Linked DNA regions of Rattus norvegicus. The protein of the gene in region 1 interacts with the protein of each later gene in a pairwise test. Links are inferred from orthologs where the notes say so. Each region holds a gene or a part of one and is shown in the gene's direction. Other genes may lie near its edges.

Region 1 (9,599 bases):
CCCCAACTTCTGCAGAGGCTCCAACCACGCGCCCCAATCCCCTCCCCGATGGGCCTGGAGGTCGTCATAGCGCCCTGTAGCAGCAGCAGGATTTCCCATCCCCCACCCTCCTCCACCACCGCCTCGTCCCGCCTCTGCGGGAAACCCCCACCGTGGCAGCCCACGCGGGACCGCGAGAGCCCACTCACCCCCCGCCCGAGGTGCGGCGGCACAGCCCTCCTCCAGAGCTGCGCAGCGGCCCCGCCCCCTCCCTGACCTCGCTTCCGCTCCCGCTTGTCCTGCAGCTGCTTCTTCTTCTGCTTCACGCTGAAGGGCTTCTTCCTCGGCATGGCCCCGGAGCCCCGGTCCGCCCTCCGCCGAGCTCCCCGCCGCCGCAACTGACTCCCCCGGGCAGCCCCCGCCCGCGGCCCGGGGCCCTGGGGAGGCGGGGCCGCGGTGACGTCAGCGGCGGGCGGCGGGGAGCAGGGCGGCAGGGATGCAAGCGGCACGTGAGAGCCCGCGGCTTCGGGGTGCACGGTGCGGCGAGCTGGAGGCACGCGTGGGTGGCCCCGGCCGACTCCGTCACCGGCGCTACCAAGTGGCAGCCGCGGGAGGGGGGACGTGTGTCACTGCCGCCCGCCGCTCCCGCGAGCTGCCACTCACCTGGCGGGGGCCGGGCGTGGGGGCGAGGACACGCCCCACCGCGCCGCAGCCAGGGTGGGGAATGGCCCCCGGCCGGGGAACCGAGGCTGCGCGACTGCGCTGGCAGCTCCGTGGGCTGACCTGAGGCGACCGGACACAGTAAGAACGCCGAAGAGGCAGACTTACAGGCCACACGTGCGAGCGTGGGAGAGGAGAAAAAAAGCCAGCGGGACAAGGACTTTTGGAGAGAGGTCGGAGAGCACGCAGTTGTGGCTGTAGGTGTTGCCATAGTAACCGGGGGACCGGATGTGGCGATCTTAAGGTGCGACAGGCTTCACGCGTGCCGGGCAGAGGTCCGAAGCCTGTCCAGTGTCTCACTGCAGTGCGGTGGTGCTTTTCCACGTGGGGAGGAATTGCACAAGGGGAGCAGAGCTTTCCCTACGCGCGGCAGGGTGAGCGAGGCACCTTGCAGGAGCGAATCGCCAAAGCACATCCCCGACCTCCCGGAAGTGGCATGGCGGGAGCCTCGGTCACCGGGCCCACCGCTCACCCGGAAGCGGAAGGAAAGCTAGTGTGCCCCCTCCTCACTGCCCTCAAATCCTGCTGCAGCCATTGCCGCAGCCGCTATGCCGAAACGAAAGAAGCAGAACCAGCCGCAGCCGCCGCAGCATCTCGCACTGTCCGAGCGGGACGAGCCTGGAGACGAGGAGGACGAGCGCCCCATGGGTGAGGGGCAGGGCGTGCACACGCCTGTCAGCGGGCCGGGGGCTAGGCGAGAATGAAGTGCGGGGGAGGAGGCTCCAACGGAAGGAGGAAGAACGCACGCGTGGAGGTGGGGTGGGAGGGGAGGGCTCCTGGTAGAACCTGGATTGAGGACTTAGCTTGCTTGAACCCTCAACCTCAGTCTGGCTCCTAATCCTTTCTGGAGAAGGCAGGGGAGGTGGCGGCTAAACCTCTGGCTTGCGCAACCGCAGAATGGCGGGGGAGAGGGGCGGCAGCGATATTACAGATTGTGATGACCGGGAAGACAATTTGTGACCACACTTCCACTGGTTAGGTCAAAGTGCAGCCTTCTGTGAACTACTCCCCCGAGGGAAGGAGAGGAGAAAAAAACTATGATGGGCCAACAGTTAAGGTGAGGGATTGGGGTATGTGGAATCACTGGGCATGTTGTGGATGCAGCACTGTGAGGAAAGAGCTGTTAGAGACCTCTGTTACCCTCTGATGGAATCTCAAACAACTCTGCAGAGGGAAGGGCAGATGGACGGGGTGAGAGCTTGCGGCACTGCTGAATGGATTTATGACTTTACTGGGTAAAAACTGAGTGTTAAAGACCAAGTAAGGACGAGGCGATCAGTCCTTTGCACCGTTCTGACGACTGTGTTTTCATGTCTGCTCTTAGGACCACCCAGCCTTCTGGGCCCTCCCCCCATGGCTAACGGAAAGCCTGGTGATCCCAAGTCAGGTGAGGAGAAATTGGGCCGTGATTCGTGTTTTAAGCCCTGGAGAAGAGACGGAGGAAAATCAAAGACTTAAAAATCCAGGGATTGGGGTTGGGGATTTAGCTCAGTGGTAGAGTGCTTGCCTAGGAAGCGCAAGGCCCTGGGTTCGGTCCCCAGCTCCGAAAAAAAGAAAAAGGAAAGAAAAAAAAAAAATCCAGGGATTGTGTACCTAAGTGAGGAATCATATGTTAACCGTTTGGAAACAGTGTTGTCAAAATGTTACTTTCTTCCAGATTAACTCCTAGGTCTATCTCTAGTTTGTGTGTTTAGAAATAAACGATCAGGGTTGGGGATTAGCTCAGTGTAGGGCGCTTGCTAAGGCCCTGGGTTCGGTCCTCAACTCTGAAAAATAAAATAAACGATCTCTGTTTTAGAGGCTCTAAATGGAATACTACCAAGACCAAAACAAGAGGGCATAGCAAGATTTGGTAAAAAGCTGCAGTAGCTATGACATGGTGGTCTTCACAGAATATCAACATAAAGTTTTTTGGTTTTTTTTTTTGGGGGGGGGGGTTGGTTTTTTTTGTTTTTGTTTTTTTTGGTTCTTTTTTTTCCGGAGCTGGGGACCGAACCCAGGGCCTTGCGCTTGCTAGGCAAGCGCTCTACCACTGAGCTAAATCCCCAACCAAACATAAAGTTTTTAATACTTGAGAGACTGGTGGAAGATCAGGAGTTCCTGGCCAGCCTCACCTACATAGCAAATTTGAGACCAGCTAGCCTGGGCTACATGAGACCCTGTCTGAGAGGAATCAGAGGCCTCTAGACACATGAACATGGAATTCTGTGTAAAGGTGAAATCAAAGAAGTGGTTCTGAGTAAGCAGTGTTGTCTCAACTGGACATCCTTTGTGTAGAAGTAGGAACTTCATTAGAAATACTGATTTTGGGCTGGAGAGATGGCTCAGCGGTTAAGAGCACTGACTGCTCTTCCAGAGGTCCTGAGTTCAAATCCCAGCAACCACATGGTGGCTCACAACCATCTGTAATGAAATCTGATGACCTCTTCTGGTGTGTCTGAAGACAGCTACAGTGTACTTATATACAATAAATAAATAAACCTTTAAAAAAAAAAAAATACTGATTTTGGGGGTTGGGGATTTAGCTCAGTGGTTAGAGCGCTTGCCTAGGAAGCGCAAGGCCCTGGGTTCGGTCCCCAGCTCCGAAAAAGAACCAAAAAAAAAAACAAAAAAAAAAAAAAACTGATTTTTGTCATGGTAGTCATACCAGACAAACATGGGTTCTAAGCAGACTGTAAACATTCTTACAAAAAATAACGAGTCTCACAGCCTTAGACAGCATGGCACAGCCTAGCCATAGGGGCAGCAGGAAAGGTAAGAGTTCAGTGTTAGCCTGGCCTGTCTATGTAAGACACCCGTCTGTACTAGTAAAACTGGGAGGGGGGTGTGGTACTGGGGAGGTGGTCCAGTTGATTACTTACTTCAAAAGCATGTAAAAAACAGCTGGGCCCAACACCATGATAAGGCAGAGGTAGACAGACTAGGGCTTGCTGGCTAGTAAGTATGGCTGACTAAGAACATTCCAGGTCCAGTGAGACCCTGTCAGCCTCTGGCCTCTGTGGATACACACATGTATATTAGTTGTAAAGGCAGTATTTATAAGCGAATTACATCAAATATCTCCCTCTCCCTCTCCTCCCCCTCTCCCTCTCCTCTCGCCTCTCTCTCTGCCTCTACTACTCTCTTGACTCCCCTCCCCATGTCCTGAATAAACTCTATTCTATACTAAAAGAAAATTAAGACCAAGCACAGTAGCCTATGTCCACAATTTTGGAGGGTGAGGCAGGAGAATTATGGTATCATGAGGCTACATAGAGACCTATTTAAGAAAGCAAATAAGTCCAGCTCCACTTCTGGGTTTATAGTTACAAGAAATGAAAGCATAGTCTTTGGAGATTTGAGTTTTTGTTCGACTTTGTTGGGTTTTGGTTAATTTATTTATTTATTAGCAACAGGGCCTCGTTGTGTAGCCTTGGCTGTTGGGAACTCACGATACAGACCAGACCAGACTGGCATGCAGAGAGAATCTGCCTGCCTCTGCTTTCCAACTTCTTGGATTAGGCAACACCAGGCTTGTCTTTTTGGATTTGTTATGTAGCCCAGGGTGCCATCAATCTAACAAAATATATGCACTCAGTGGAATATTGTTTTGTCTTAAAAGGAAGAAAATGGCATTAGTGCCGCATCATGGGTGGGCCTGAGCACACTGTATTAAGAAAATGGGCACATGAGGGTAAACACATGAGCTGTCGGGAGTCAGACTCACAGAACAATCAGGGTGTGAGTTACTAGGGCTGTTAGAGATGTAAAGAAAGGGGTGGTTAGAGGTTTCTGTTTGGTCTCTGGTTTACAGTACAGGGCCCTGGGATTCTGTTTCCCAACAGTTACTTACAGTATTGAATCTTACACTTAATAGTTGAGGTGAGTCAGGCTGACAAGATGGCTCTACAGGTAAAAGTGCCTGCCCCCAAGCCTGACAACCTGACTTTAATCCTTGGCCCCAAGTAGTACAGGATCCAAACTCAACGACTTGTCTCTCTGTCACACATGCAGCACGATACCTGTACACACATCCCTAACACCCACATATGAGATCTAAAGTTTTAGAAATCTATTTCTTCAGGCTAAATATAAGTGGATTGCTGTTAGAGAGGACCCGAGGTTCATTTTCAGCGGCCCACGGTCTAGTGGAAGTAGGCAGCAGACAGGGCTAGTTCCAACACCCTTTTTTGGTCTGCAAGGACACCACACGCATGTGATATGTGAGCATACATATTCTTGTTTCTCACATACAACAAATGAACCGAATGAGAAAGGCTGACCCTTGGAATGCTTGGAAGCTGTAGCGCCCGCCACCTCTGAGGGGGCTGTATAAGTTGATACACCACTAAGATTAAAATTAAATTAAAAGTTAAGATTAAAATTGATTACACTGTTCTTACTGAGCAATTCCTCTGCCACATGTAGTCTGAACAGAAACTTATACTACACATAGAAATGTTCGTAGCGGGGCTGGGGATTTAGCTCAGTGGTAGAGCGCTTACCTAGGAAGCGCAAGGCCCTGGGTTCGGTCCCCAGCTGTGAAAAAAAGAAGCAAAAAAAAAAAAAAGAAATGTTCGTAGCATTGTTTATTGTGGCCACACACTTAATACCCACATGTCCATCCTCAGTAGAGCACATAAGTCCGTGTAATAGGATGCTATACTTTTTTTTTTTTTAAAGATTTATTCATTTATTATATATAAGTACACTGTAGCTGTCTTCAGATACACCAGAAGAGGGCATCAGATCTCTTTACAGATGGTTGTGAGCCACCATGTGGTTGCTGGGAATTGAACTCAGGACCTCTGGAAGAATAGTTGGGTGCTCTTAACCGCTGAGCCATCTCTCCAGCCTGGATACTATACTTTTAAATTTAAAAAATCATCTACTACTGGCCCAGACAAGTTGACTCTCATGATTATCAGAAGAGCCCAGAGTTAGAGCCAGGAAGATCCACAACCTGTCATGTTAGAAGTCAGGATGGTGGCAACTTTCCAGGAGAGGAAAGGCCATATAGAAGGATGGCTTTTCTGAGGCTGGAGATTTAGCTCAGTAATAAAGAGTAGTCAGTTGCCTAGTATATACAAGGTCCTAGGTTCAGTTCCCCACACCAGGGGCTAAAAAGCGCCAAGAAAGCGTATCTCTGTGTATGGGCAATAGAAACCCAGGGGAAGAGGTAGTAGTTGGTTTGCGTACTTAAAAGCGGTGTGTCAGGGGCTGGGGATTTAGCTCAGTGGTAGAGCGCTTACCTAGGAAGCACAAGGCCCTGGGTTCGGTCCCCAGCTCCGAAAAAAAGAACCAAAAAAAAAAAAAAAAAAAGCGGTGTGTCAGAGAGCTTTGCTGTATGTAGTGAGCAGGGGAGGGGCTTTTGTCAGGACTGAGGGGCTTCTGCCCAGCAATCACCTCCCTGTCTTTCTCTCTGTAGTTTTCCACAGGGGTCCTCCAGGATCAAGGGGACCAATGATTCCACCACTGCTGAGTCTCCCACCTCCTCCCCGGGGTAGAGGCCACATTCGGGGAGGCCTTGGTCCTCGGTCTAGCCCATACGGTCGTGGTTGGTGGGGTGTCAATACTGAACCTCCTTTTCCTGGGCCAGGCCATGGGGGTCCTTCTAGGGAAATCTTTTACCAAGAGCCAAGAAATCCAAGAAGGCTCAAAAGCTGGTCTCTTGTCAAGAACACCTACCCACCTAAGGACAGCCCCCCGATGATGGAAGGTAAGGCCCACTTTGTTATGTTTGTGCCGTGGCCTGTATACCAGCAGGCCTGGGAATCTTCTCCTTTAGGCTCTCACTGAGCAGCACTGAGAATTAATGCAGGGCCTTACCTGTATTGAGGAGTCCTCTAGCGCTGAACTACCAGCTTCTTAGCTGCCTCAAGAGGTACCAATAGCCCTGAACACTTTTCTTCCCTCAGAAAGACTGTCTTTCCAAAATACTTGGTGATCTGGGAGTCTTGCTCAGTGATTGAACAAGGTGTGCATCATGCCTGAGGCCCTGTGTTCTATCCCTAGCACCAAAAGTAGAAAGAAAAAGCCAAAATACTTGTAAACAGTATATGGTAGAAACCTTGGCTTTCTCTCTGCATTCTATACATTTTCTTTCTTAGGATTTTTAGGGCATCAAGTTGGAAGAGTTGTGTTTTATTAGGGGTGGGTGGACAAGTTGACCTCAAACTTGTGTCTTCTGTCTCGGCCTCTGAAGGCTGGGGCCATGGTGTGAGCCTCCTCACCCAGCTCTCAAAAGGTTTTAAGCTGCTGTTTTCCCTTATTCACAGACAAATCTGACCGCCCTGTCTGCCGACACTTTTCTAAGAAGGGCCACTGTCGATATGAAGACCATTGTGCCTTCTACCATCCAGGCGTCAACGGACCTCCTCTGTAAGACTGTGCCTTCCCACCCAGGCTGGAAGGAGCCCTCTGACCTAGTGGCCATGCATTCTCTGTGGCTCCATTATAGCTACTTGAAGGCTCTTCTGTCACCTTCAGGCAGTGGCACGTCCACCCCTTTCATCATCTCTCCCATTTGGGGTCCAGAGCTGTGACTGTCACTGGTGCACAGTACACACTGTCCTCTGATCCAGGCTGTAGAGACCTTCAGGACCCCATCTTGCTACCTTCCACTGCCTCCTGGATCTTCCCCTCTGCCAAATGACTGCTCCACAGGAAACCTTTGGTGCTGTTTCTTGTGCATTTGTCCACCTCTCCCTCAGTATTGCCCTCAGTTCCCAAGAACCCTGGAGCAGTCTCTTATCCTCTAGCTGCTTGTTTTAAGTCCTTTCACGTAAAACCCCAGTGTTTGCAGCTGCCAGGAAGTGCACTAGGTTTTCCGGCTTGAGGTTGAGTTTGAGTGACTGGTACAGACTTGCTCCCTAAACAGCCTCCACCTGCTTTTGGACGTCCTAGTTTCTGTCCGTAGCATGAGCCCCACCGCTAAGGCCTGTGGTCACTGTGCTTTGTGAAACTGTACGCCCCTTGTAGCCTTCCTCGGTGTCTGTGGCGTTTTTTGTGACTTCCCAACACTAGAGTAAGTTTTTCTGCCAAATCAAGTGAGGCTCTTGGTGCCCTCTAGAGTTCACCTACCTCCCAAAACGGGAGGATGTGAGACATCTTCAGACTGCCTCCCCGTCGTGCCCTCCTGTTCTGTGCCCTCTGGTATTCTGGGTCTGACACAGGCCAGTGATGTCTTGGAAAGCTTCCGACGGGCCTCCCAACACAGCTCCTGCCTGACCCGTTTTAGTTAGGCTGTCATTGTGAGGCCACCAGCCCTTTGATTTGACTTTGTGAATCTCCGCCTGTCTCTGGATGGAACCTGAACAGTACTGTCTGTCACCTCTCTGACCCTCTTACTTCCCTCACACTGGGTGTTTTCTGTGAAAACAGCAGTGAACATGTTGGGTTTTGAACAGGCCCTAAGGAAGTGGGTCAGGAGGTATGTGTGCAAGAGGAGAGAGAGCGCTAGAACTAAGAATGATTTTGTTTTCTTTTTAATTTTTTTTATATTAGTAATAAACACAGTGGAAACCGGTGTCTTCTCTCATTTCTCTGTTCCAGTCTTCTCTGCAGGTGCAGGGAAGCCTTCTCTGAGGCTTCTAGGGAGTCCATTCATTCCCTTAGTTCATCAGAAGCAAAGGTACACTCCGGAAGTGTTGCTGTGCGGAGAGCAGATCAGTGACACAGAGCTGAGGTCTGAAGGATGCACAGGAGGAGCAGTGAGGGGAGGAGTCTTGGCAGTGCCTGGCAACAGTGCCTGGAGCTGAGGTTTTTTGTATTTTTGTTTTCTGTCTGAACACAGAATCTGAAGAGTGGCTCACTTACCACTTATTTTGTGATATTTTTCCCTTGTAAATCAAAACGTGTAATTCACATGAACGCTGTAGGTGATATCTTTGTAATGACTTTGTCTCACTGTCAAAAGGTTGACCATGGGGCTGGGGATTTAGCTCAGTGGTAGAGCGCTTACCTAGGAAGTGCAAGGCCCTGGGTTCGGTCCCCAGCTCCGAAAAAAAGAACCAAAAAAAAAAAAAAAAAAAAAAAGGTTGACCATGGGGGACAGACTTAGAAATGGAGATTTCTAAAATACTTTTTTAGATTTATTTACTACTTTATGTTTGTAAATATTTTGCCTCCCTGTTTGTATGTGTAGAATGTGTGCCTGTTACCCATGGAGGTCAGAAGAATACATCAGAATCCCTGGGATTAGGGATACAGGTTGTTGTGAGCCACTGTGTGGGTGCTGGGAATTGAACCTGCGTTCTCTGTAAGAGTGACTTGTGCTCTTCTTACACACTGAGCCATGTCTCCAGCCCCAGAAACGGAGATTTTCTAAGACGACCCAGATAAGCTTCAACAGTAGCATAGGCTTGAGTATTGAAGTTGGAGAAAAGCGAATGTTTAGAAACAGTCAAAATGAAAGCATTTGGGGCCAGAGGGCTCTACTGTTAAAAAGTCATTTGCTCTGGAAGAGAACCTAAGTTTTGTACCCAGGACCCACAGCCACTTAGAGCAGCCTGTAACTCCAGTTCTTGGGGATTTGGAGCTCTCTTCTGTCCACTTGGGGCACCAGTCACATACCATTGCATATAAGCAAGCAAATGCGTAAAATTCATTTCATTTTAAAGACTCAAAAGATTGAGCTTGGAGGTACATCAACATCAGGACCCCAAGGGGCAGAGGTGCCAGCGAAAGAGGGAGGAGGAGCGGTGTACTAGGAAAAAAAAGTATGTGGAGAAATGGAGGGAAAGTGACCACCTATGTCAGATGTGCTAGGACACGGCTTGTGATCTGTTGATCCTGGAATGTGAATTGGGACAGAAGCATCATGGGAGCTAGGAATGTGCTTAGGATATTTGCCTAGTATGTGTGAAGCTGCCTTAGGTTCCACTCTTGGGCCATATAAATAAAACATGCATATTAACATG
Region 2 (10,024 bases), about 31 Mb from region 1:
TGAAAGTTTTAGTCTCTGGATTTGTATGGCTTCTAGGTCAGCTCTGTGTTACATATACAGTAAACATAGTCTTAAAAATTTCCAAGCTAAAAGCATTACTCAAGTGTTCATATGCACAGGATATGATGCTAGTGTTTCCTTTGTTTACTATGCAGAATGGTGCTTTAGGTTGTACTTGGATCGCTCACACATCACTGTCTGTCTGTCTGTCTGTCTCAGAAGTCTTGCTAATGAGGACTGTGGACACAACCCTAGCCTTTCCTGGCATTTTTAATGTCTTCTAGTTTTGTTGTTTCACTTTCTTAATTCCTTTAGGTTCATTATGATTCAAAACATGATCTTTGGTGTCCTCTACCTAAATAGTCTTTGACTGCATTTAATTTCCACAGTGTTTGTGGCTCAAACACAATATAATTTTCATTTTCTCAAACTTTGCTATAGTTTTTCAGATCCATTGCCCTTTGTACTCACTGTTTGTGTGTATACTTCTTAGTTAGTGGTGCTGGGCTTGAACTGAACCACACCGTGACCTCTGTCTGCTGTCAGTTTTACATGGTTTACTACTGAAGAACCTGAGGGTCTTGGATAGATAGAGGAGGGAACTGATAGAACAAACACTTACTAGAATGGACTCTACGAAACTCAAGTTGGTACATAGTAATTTGGGACTGAAAAATAGGACTGTAAAAGGTTAGGATCACTACAATGATTGATGTGGTTATAAATAATGAATTTTATAATGAATATTATATAATTAATCACCATACAGTAAAGACCAGAAATTATTTTTCTTTAGCTATAATTATGCCTGCAAGTACTGAGTGCACACAGTACTACCACAGAGAAACTTACCCTTATTTTCTAGGTATAAGTGAATCCCACCAAAGAACATTGGCTAGGTGGGTGTGGTGGTGTCCACCTGTATCTCTAGCACTCAGGAGGCAGAAGAGAGTGACTCTAAGGCCAACTAAGGTCTCTAAAGGCCAAGAATAAATCGAAAAGACATCGCACTGACGGTCTCAAGCAGTGCTAGGGTAGCTGTTGCTCACCCGCTAGTCCTGCCGTTCACGGCCTTTGTGTTTCTTTCTGAATTACTCTAGGCTGATGCGCCAAACGCGGGGCTCATCCCAGACGCAGACGCAGTGGGGGTAACAGTTGTACTGATTACCTGCACCTACCGAGGTCAAGAATTTATTAGAGTTGGCTACTATGTAAATAATGAATATACTGAAACAGAATTAAGGGAAAACCCACCAGTAAAACCAGACTTTTCTAAGGTAAGTTTCTTTTCTTCTTTTTCTGGGATATTTTATGTATTTACATTTCAAATGTTATCCCCCCACCCCCTTCTTCTATGAGGATGCTCCTACCCCCTCCCACCTCAATGTTGGCCCTGGCATTCCCCTACATTGGGGGATCCAGCCTTCACAAGACTTAGGGCTTTTCCTCCTATTGATGCTAGACAGTGCCATCCTCTGCTAAATATGCGCCTGGGGTCATGGGTCCCCCCCCCCCCTGTGTACTCATTGGTTGGCGGTTCAGTCCCTGGGAGCTCTGGTGGGGTCTAGTTCCTTGATATTGTTGTTTTTCCTATGGGGCTGCAAAGCCCTTCAGCTCCTTCAGTCCTTTCTCTAACTGCTCCATTGGGGTCTCCCTGATCAGTACAATGGTTATCTGCAAGCATCCTCTTCTGTATCAGTAAGGCTCTAACAGCCTCTCAGGAGACATTCATATCTGGCTCCTGTCAGCAAGCACTTCTTATTTGGTGGCTGTATCTGGGATGCATCCCCGGGTTGTGGCAGTCTCTGGATGATCTTTTCTTCAGTCCCTGCTGCACTCTTTGTTCCTGTATTTCCTCCCATGAGTATTTTGTTTTCCCGTTTAAGAAGGACTGAAGCATCCACATTTTGATCTTCCTTCTTCTTGAGCTTTATGTGATCTATGAATTGTTTCTTGGGTATTCTGAGCTTTTGGGCTCATATCCACTTACCAGTGAGTGCTTACCATGTGTGTTCTTTTGTGACTGGGTTACTTCACTCAGGATCATATTTTCTAGTTCCATCCATTTGCCTAAAAATTTCATGAAGTCATTGTTTTTAATAGCTGAGTAGTACTCCATTGTGTAAATGTACCACATTTTCTGTATCTGGGTTCCTTCTAGCTTCTGGCTATTATAAAACAAGGCTGCTGTGAACACAGTAGAGCATCTTTTGGGTCTATGCCCAGGGGTGGTATAGCTGGGTCCTTAGGTAATACTATGTCCAATTTTCTGAGGAACTGCCAGACTGATTTCCAGAGGGGTTGTCCCAGTCTGCAATGGCATCTTTGTCAGCATCTGCTGTCACCCGAGTTTTTGATCTGAGCCCTTCTGACTGGTGTGAGAGGAGTTTGATTTGCATTTCCCTGATGACTAAGGATGTTGAACATTTCTTTAGGTGCTTCTTTAGGTGATTTCTTTCTTCAGAGGCTTGAAGTTCTTGCCATACAGATCTTTCACTTGCTTGGTGAGATTCACACCAAGGTATTTTATATTATTTGTGGGTATTGTGAGGGGTGTCATTTCTCTAATTTCTTTTTTTTTTTTTTTTTTTTTTTTTTTTTTTTTGGTTCTTTTTTTCGGAGCTGGGGACCGAACCCAGGGCCTTGCGCTTCCTAGGTAAGCGCCCTACCACTGAGCTAAATCCCCAGCCCCTCTAATTTCTTTCTCAGCCTGTTTATCCTTTGAGTAGAGGAAGGCTATTGATTTGTTTGAGTTAATTCTCTATCCAGCCACTTTGCTGAAGTTGTTTATCAATTGTGGGAATTTTTGGGGTCACTGAAGTATACTCTCATATCATCTGCAAATAGTGATAATTTGACTTCTTCCTTTTCAATTTGTATCCCTTTGACCTCTTTTTGTTGTCCTAATTGCTCTGGCTAGGACTTCAAGTACTATATTGAATAGGTGGGATTGCTTCAAGTTTCTCTCCATTTAGTTTGATGTTGGCTACTAGTTTGCTGTACTGGTTTGCTTTTACTATGTTTACGCCTTGAATTCCAAGACGTTTATCATGAAGGGATGTTGAATTTTGACAAATGCTTTCTCAGTATGAGATGATCATGTGGTTTTGCATTTGTTTATATAGTGGATTACACGCTGATGGATTTCCATATATTGAGCCATCCTTACATCCCTAAAATGAAGCCTACTTGATCATGGTGAATGATTGTTTTGATATGTTCTTGGATTTGGTTTTCGAGAATTTTATTGAGTATTTTTGAATCAATATTCATGAGGGAAATTGGTCTGAAGGTGTCTTAGTCGGGGTTTCTATTCCTGCACAAACATGACCAAGAAGCAAGTTGGGGAGGAAAGGGTTTATTCAGCTTACACTTCCACATTGCTGTCCATCACCAAAGGGAGTCAGGACTGGAACTCAAGCAGGTCAGGAAGCAGGAGCTGATGCAGAGGCCATGGAGGGATGTTACTTACTGGCTTGCTTCCCCCGGCTTGCTCAGCTTGCTTTCCTATAGAACCTGAGACCACCCAGCCCAGGGACGGCACCACCCACAATGGGCTGGGTCCTCCCACATTGATCACTAGTTGAGAAAATGCCTTACAGCTGGGTCTCATGAAGGCATTTCCACAACTGAGGCTCTTTTCTCTATGATAACTCCGGCTTGTGTCAAGTTGACACACAAGACCAGCCAATACAGAAGTCCTCTTTCCTTGTTGGGTTTTTGTGTGGTTTAGGTATAAGTGTAATTGTGGCTTCAAAGAATGAATTGGGTAGTGTTCCTTCTGTTTCTATTTTGTGGAATAGTTTGAAGAGTATTAGTATTGGATCTTCTGAAGGTCTGATAGAATTCTGCACTACCTCCATCTAGTCCTGGGCTTTTTTTGGTTGAGAAACTTTTAATGACTGCTTCTACTTCTTTAGGAGTTATAGGACTGTTTAGATGGTTTACTTGATCCTGATTTAACTTTGGTACCTGGTATCTATCTAGAAAATTGTCTATTTCATCCAGATTTTCCAGTTAGTTTTGTTGAGTATAGGTTTTTGTAGTAGGATCTGATCATTTTTTGAATTTCCTTAGTTTCTGTTTTTATGATTCCCTTTTCATTTCTGATTTTGTTAATTTGGATACTATCTCTCTGTGCCCTCTGTTACTCTGGCTAAGGGTTTATCTATCTTGTTGATTTTCATAAAGAATCAGCTCCTGGTTTTGTTATTTGTTTGTTTTGGTATAGTTCTCTTTGTTTCTACTTGGTTGTTTTCAGCCCTGAGTTTGATTATTTCCTCCCCTTACTTCCCTTTTACCTGGTTTGCAAAGGCTGATAGTTCTTTTGCTGTCTGCTATTATGGTCATTGCTTATTATGCTTAAGTGCTTCATTGCTGATCCCTTTGGATATGAATTTAGTCCTCCAAAAAGATGAAAAGAAACACCCAGCTTGCACATGGTAATCTAACTTTCTTAGTACTCACCATTTAAATGTTTCTCTTTCTAGCTTCAAAGGAATATTTTGGCTTCTAATCCCAGAGTCACAAGGTTCCACATTAACTGGGAAGATAACACAGAGAAACTGGAAGACGCAGAGAGCAGTGACCCCAATCTGCAGTCCCTTCTTTCCACAGATGCACTGCCTTCAGCATCAAAGGGATGGGCGACGTCAGAAAACTCACTCAGTGTCATGTTAGAATCCCACATGGACTGCATGTGACACGTGCCATGCCATTAGTACAGATTAAGCTATTAAAACAGAACTATCTCCCTGAAGTTCCGTAAGTACATAGTCAACGTGAAATGTGAAGAATTTGTTTAAAAACATCCTGTAGAAAGTTTATAAGAAAACCAGTATTTGAGCAAATTGTGGAATATAAATACAACTATTTTTAAGGACTTTTTTTCTCTAATGTGTTATTTTATTTGTTCATGAAACTAATCTGATTAAAGCATATATATTATTTTCTTCTCTTTTATATGTAATTAAAGCACTTATAAAAAGAAAAGTTATCAATTCTTAGACTGGGTTGTAAAGGTGTTTTAGCCTCTTGGACAATAAGATTTATCAGCTTTTAAAAGGACAAAGTTTACTTCAACTAAAATGATTTTTCCTGTGAAGATAGTATCCTTATAATTTGACAAGAAAATTTCCATTCTGTAGTAAAAAAGATAGATTTAAAATGGGATTTGAAATCAATCACATGCCACCAGGGTTTTTCTAGGCCATCCCAGTGCATCTTACTACAGTTCACATTAAACTGGACTTCTAGTTTTTATATAACAAATGCGGCTGCCTTTGAAGTCCTTCTGACTATCGTGTATGCTTTCCTACATCTAAAACTGAGAAACTATGATCCTAAGCCATCACTGTCTAGAGAGTCCAACACATAAGAGCAAACATAAGGTCTCTGAAGTGTAAGACTCCATTATGATGGCTCAGATCTGCTCACTCTTTCTGCTTACAGGAATGCTGAACGTGCGTTGCTGGCACCATTACTATTGAAGGGTGATTTAGGAAGGTCTAGTCAGCTTCATCCTGGCTAGCGACTCTAGAGAGTATGTCTTACCTTTTGCAGCCACACTACCCCATATCCTTTGGTTCTCATAATGTGTAAGATCAGGGCATTATCTGTAGTTAACATAACAGCTTAACCACTTTTTTTTTTCTCAGAAGAATAGTTTTAGAAAGGAATTCACCAAATAAATGGGCCAAAAGCTTATTTTCTTTAATGAGAAGTAAATCCTCAAAGTTTTGATCCATTAAATTGACAGTACAATATTCTCAGTTGTTATCAGTGATGATGCCCAGGATAGCCATAGGTTCAAGTTATGCAGTGCCTTCACATCTAAGCTTTTATACTGCACTTTCAAAAGCATTTTGAGGAAAAGGAAGGGGTATTTATTTAAATACAGACTCTATAAGTTGTAATATATTTCTTGCTTTTTTTAAAAGATAAATTTGTGAAACAAAGTCTTGTTAAATGTTAAACTTTGAAATTTAAGACTCCATATTACCCAGTTCATAGATTTTAAAAATAAATATTTCTGGCTACTAAAATGATTTGAAAAAAAAATCTCATTTTGTCTAACTACAATTAGGAGAAAATGTTTAAGACAGTTCAGTGATCAGTACAGTAAGAATAAGTTTGTCAGAAATAAAGATAATTAAATCACCAAGTAAAGCAACTCAGTGCAGTCTTAGATTATAGAACCACTTTGTGATGACATGCTTAGGTCTTTATACCAAACTTTAAATATATGGCCCATAGTCACAAAAGTCGGAGAAATAAAATACTGCCTTTTATTATTTAAATGCAATAGCATTTAAATTTAAAAGTGAAAGAAGAATAGAAACATTTACACATTAAGAACTAAGAAACTAGCATGCAGGGATTTTCCTCCTGATTAGCCTCATTTAAAAAGACATTATGTCTGAATTACAGTTAAAAGGCTTATAGACTCCGCTCCACCCCACTTCTTTTGAGATATGGTCTCTCAACATAGCCCTGGCTGTCCTGAACTTTCCTTAGACCAGTGTAGCCTTCAGCTCACAGACATCCACCTGCTTCTGCCTCCTGAGAGCTGGGATTAAAGGCATTCGACTCCACACCCTGCACCACTTCCTTGTTTCTATCAGTATAAATAAATGTCTGGTGAATACGTACACATACAACACACACATATGCACACACACAGTCCACACCGCTGAAGAGCTAGGGGAGTAGGTTATGATGGTATGGAGTTGAAACATTTCAGAAGTCTGAGGAGGCACACATGCATTTGCTCATTCACAACCCTTTCTGACCCTTCATTTCTGTTCAGTCCATGGGGGCTGTCAACGTGGCCCAGTCGGTAAGGTGCTTGCTGCCAAGCCTGGCTACTTCAGTTCAGTACCCAGGATTCACATGATAGAAACATTCTCCCACAGGTTGTCACCTAACTTCCATATATGCTCACACAAACTAAGTAAATTAAGGGTAATGCAAAATTTTAAGACTATGACATGTTTCCTATCGCAGTCCATAGTATAAAATGCCATATGACCATGCAATGCAAGTATACATTTATATTAGGTTTTTCAAGAAAGTAGCCCTTCGCTGCCCCTACTGTGTGCAGCCTGACTCTTGATGGATTACAGGAGTGCCAAAGCCCACTGACATCTTTGAGTGGGTAAAAAGTAGCAATTAAGTTCCTACAATTACAAAACCTTTACCAACCTTTTTTCTCACCTTTGGATTATGATCTTGACATATGAAATGAGGGAGGAGAGTGCTAATTCACTTTCTATTTATATTATCACTAACACTTGAGAACTTCTTTATTAATAGTGGCCTGTTAGATGGCATAGGCTAGTGCTTGGCATTCCACATGATTGGTTGGCAGTCATTTCATGGAATCATACAATGTCACTCAGCCACAAGGATTTCAAAGTATATAGGGGTGGCTCTTTATTGGCCTTCTCTTTTGGTGTTGTCAACTCACAGAGCCCATCTGACCAACACTTATTAATACAGCATTTACAGTCCCCAGATAGGACTGCTGGGATATTTTTCTTTTGTGATGGGTTTCAGAGTATATTAGATAAGAACTTGGAGAGGAGACTACAGAAGCAAGGTTATCTTAACATGTAATAACACTGGTAAACTATGGGAAACCAAACTCCTATTGTAGAACAGGAGAAATAAAACTAAAAGTAGAAAACATCAAGACACATTTTAAAAAAACAATTTTCCCTAAATTTCATATCACTTTATAACCAGGACAGTCTTGTGTGTAAGAGCTTTTAAATGTACTTGCTGTAGAATTATTAAAATGTATGAAGAAAATTTCTTAGTACATACGTGAAAATATGCTTTCTAAATGCACAAATGTCCCTAAGAGGTATCATTAGGAGTCACTGTTGTCCATGAAAATGCCTTAAACTATATGCTGTCTACCTACTTTGTAAATGAAATCTCCCTGTTTTGATGTTTGTTTGGTAGATCTTTATAAAACGACATCTTTACATTTTCCTATATAAAACTAAGTTCCATACCGAGGACATAAACCTTTTTGAAATATCTTTTTAATTGTACAAAAAGGATGTTACATTTCCTTCCATTTTTGGCAGTAACTTTGAAAAACCTAAACTTACTTGAAATGTATCCTATGAAGGCTACATTTCATAAGGAAATAATTGTGTTCATTTCTATATTAATTTTAAATTATGTAAAAATTGTCATACAGTACCTGCACTAGTAGATCCAATTCCTGTGGTCAAAACAGACCTCGGTGTAATCTTTGCTGCATATTTAAGGAATTGCGATTTCCCTGTGCCAGGATCCCCAACCAATAAAAGGTGAGATTCGCCTAGGAAAAGTAAATGTAAAAGTTCAAAAATTTTAAAAGGACCTATGAATAACATACAACTAATAAAGTATCCCATATGAAATGGCCAATACATTTTATGTGTTATTTTTTGATATATTTTATGCAAGGTTCTTCAAGGAAGGAGTTAAATAGAGACTCTTTAGAAAAGTTATCTGTCACAAATATAGCAATTTTGATTACTGAGTGGATATTTAAAATTTAAAACCTTTTAATAGAGTATATGCTATTTCCAGATGCTTAGACCCATGCGTAACATTTTAAAAATCCTTGACTTACAAAAACTTTCTGGTGTATCTATTTTTAAATCTAAGCTACAGTGATTAAAGCTATCCATACAAGTCATATAAGGTTTTATTCTATTTTTAAAGTACTTCTAAATTTTGGGGGTTTTATAAGTGGTTTATACATATCAAACCATTTTGATTATATTAACTGAATAAAAACATTTTCATTTATGTACGTTTCATTAGCTTAGTGGGATATCTACCTTAAAATGACTCATTTCACACTTAATAGAAATGGACACATGCTCGTCCTATGACAGATATTTTCACTGGACAAAAAATTTCTTTAGTAATAAGTATTTCCTGAGTACATTAATAAACCATTATTTAAGATCAACATTTAGCCAAGTGCCTTGCATATAGCAGATGATCACAATACAGTTTATAAAATGCTTCTGTCCTATGTGGTCTTAGTGTTGGACTAATAGCCTGGCTTAGAGTATCATTTTAGTCTGTGGGGTAACTGGTTAACAGCTCTCTCTCTTGCTTTCTCTCTCGGTCTCTCTCTCTCTCTGTCTCTCTCTGCCTCTCTCTCGGTCTCTCTCTGTCTCACTCTCTGTCTCGGTCTCTCTCTCGGTCTCTGTCTCGGTCTCTCTCTCGGTCTCTGTCTCGGTCTCTCTCTCTCTCTCTCGCTCGCTCGCTCGCTGCACTGGAGTCTGCTGCCACCCAGACATGTTGCACACTTGGAGCAGTCTTTGCTTCAAGTATGACCTACAGCAGCAATCCTGGCAGATGGCGTATCTGCTGTCTACCAGCGGGAGAATCAGCAGGCACAGGGCTCTGAGTAGCACTTGACAGTCACAGATGGAAACCAGCTTGGAGACATTAAGACACACACTCTCATCCCCTCCCTCCAAGGGAGCTCATTGTGGCACCTTTACAGTACATAACCACGGAAGAACTTATCTCTGGTAAATCTGGATATAGACTAAAACTGAAAAATCCATTTAGAAACTACATTAGAAAATAGCTCTAGAGACAGCTTTTAAAATTAATTTCCTGAAGTATACTAAGTAATGGGTTTTATTTAGGCATTTTCAAGTGTGTGTTATTATAACTCAACCCCCAACAAGCAACTTTTGTTGAAGAAAGAAAGGGCCTCCCTTGCCCTCTACATGTATCAGTAGGTACTGACCTCTAACCCTTGTTCCTGCAGCATCAGTTCTTTGAATTCCACCAGCCAGGACCATGGCCACAGCAAGCTTCACTAGATACATCCCAAACACTTGAGGACACAAGCTGGCCAATATTTCATTCCTCCCTTGGAAGTGAGAAAGATCAGAAGTTATCATTTTCCAGAACTTCTACCTGAAATCTCCCTATCCTGTAGCCATTTTCATGTAACACACTGCCAATCTAAAATGATAAAGGCCAAGTCAAATAA

What was found. The genes of interacting proteins can lie anywhere in the genome.
Region 2: the proteins of Prr3 (region 1) and Asf1a interact in binary tests that used the Homo sapiens proteins (3 or more experiments, as listed by UniProt). The two-hybrid records come from large-scale screens. The link is inferred for Rattus norvegicus from reciprocal best matches to the Homo sapiens genes PRR3 and ASF1A.

Annotation. Positions count from the first base shown.
Region 1 is NC_086038.1:2,796,469-2,806,067, forward strand, and holds Prr3 (proline-rich protein 3), read left to right. Parts: upstream 1-1,208; 5' UTR 1,209-1,247; coding exon 1,248-1,347; intron 1,348-1,450; exon of another isoform or gene 1,451-1,685; coding exon of another isoform or gene 1,686-1,756; intron 1,757-2,023; coding exon 2,024-2,086; coding exon of another isoform or gene 2,087-2,197; exon of another isoform or gene 2,198-6,106; coding exon 6,107-6,397; exon of another isoform or gene 6,398-6,956; coding exon 6,957-7,063; 3' UTR 7,064-8,206; downstream 8,207-9,599. Other genes in the region: Gnl1 (guanine nucleotide-binding protein-like 1), read right to left, coding at 257-329.
Region 2 is NC_086038.1:33,444,764-33,454,787, forward strand, and holds the end of Asf1a (histone chaperone ASF1A), read left to right. Parts: intron 1-1,100; coding exon 1,101-1,277; intron 1,278-4,490; coding exon 4,491-4,703; 3' UTR 4,704-6,715; downstream 6,716-10,024. Other genes in the region: DNA helicase MCM9, read right to left, coding at 8,216-8,335, 9,776-9,901. UniProt on the Homo sapiens protein: Histone chaperone that facilitates histone deposition and histone exchange and removal during nucleosome assembly and disassembly.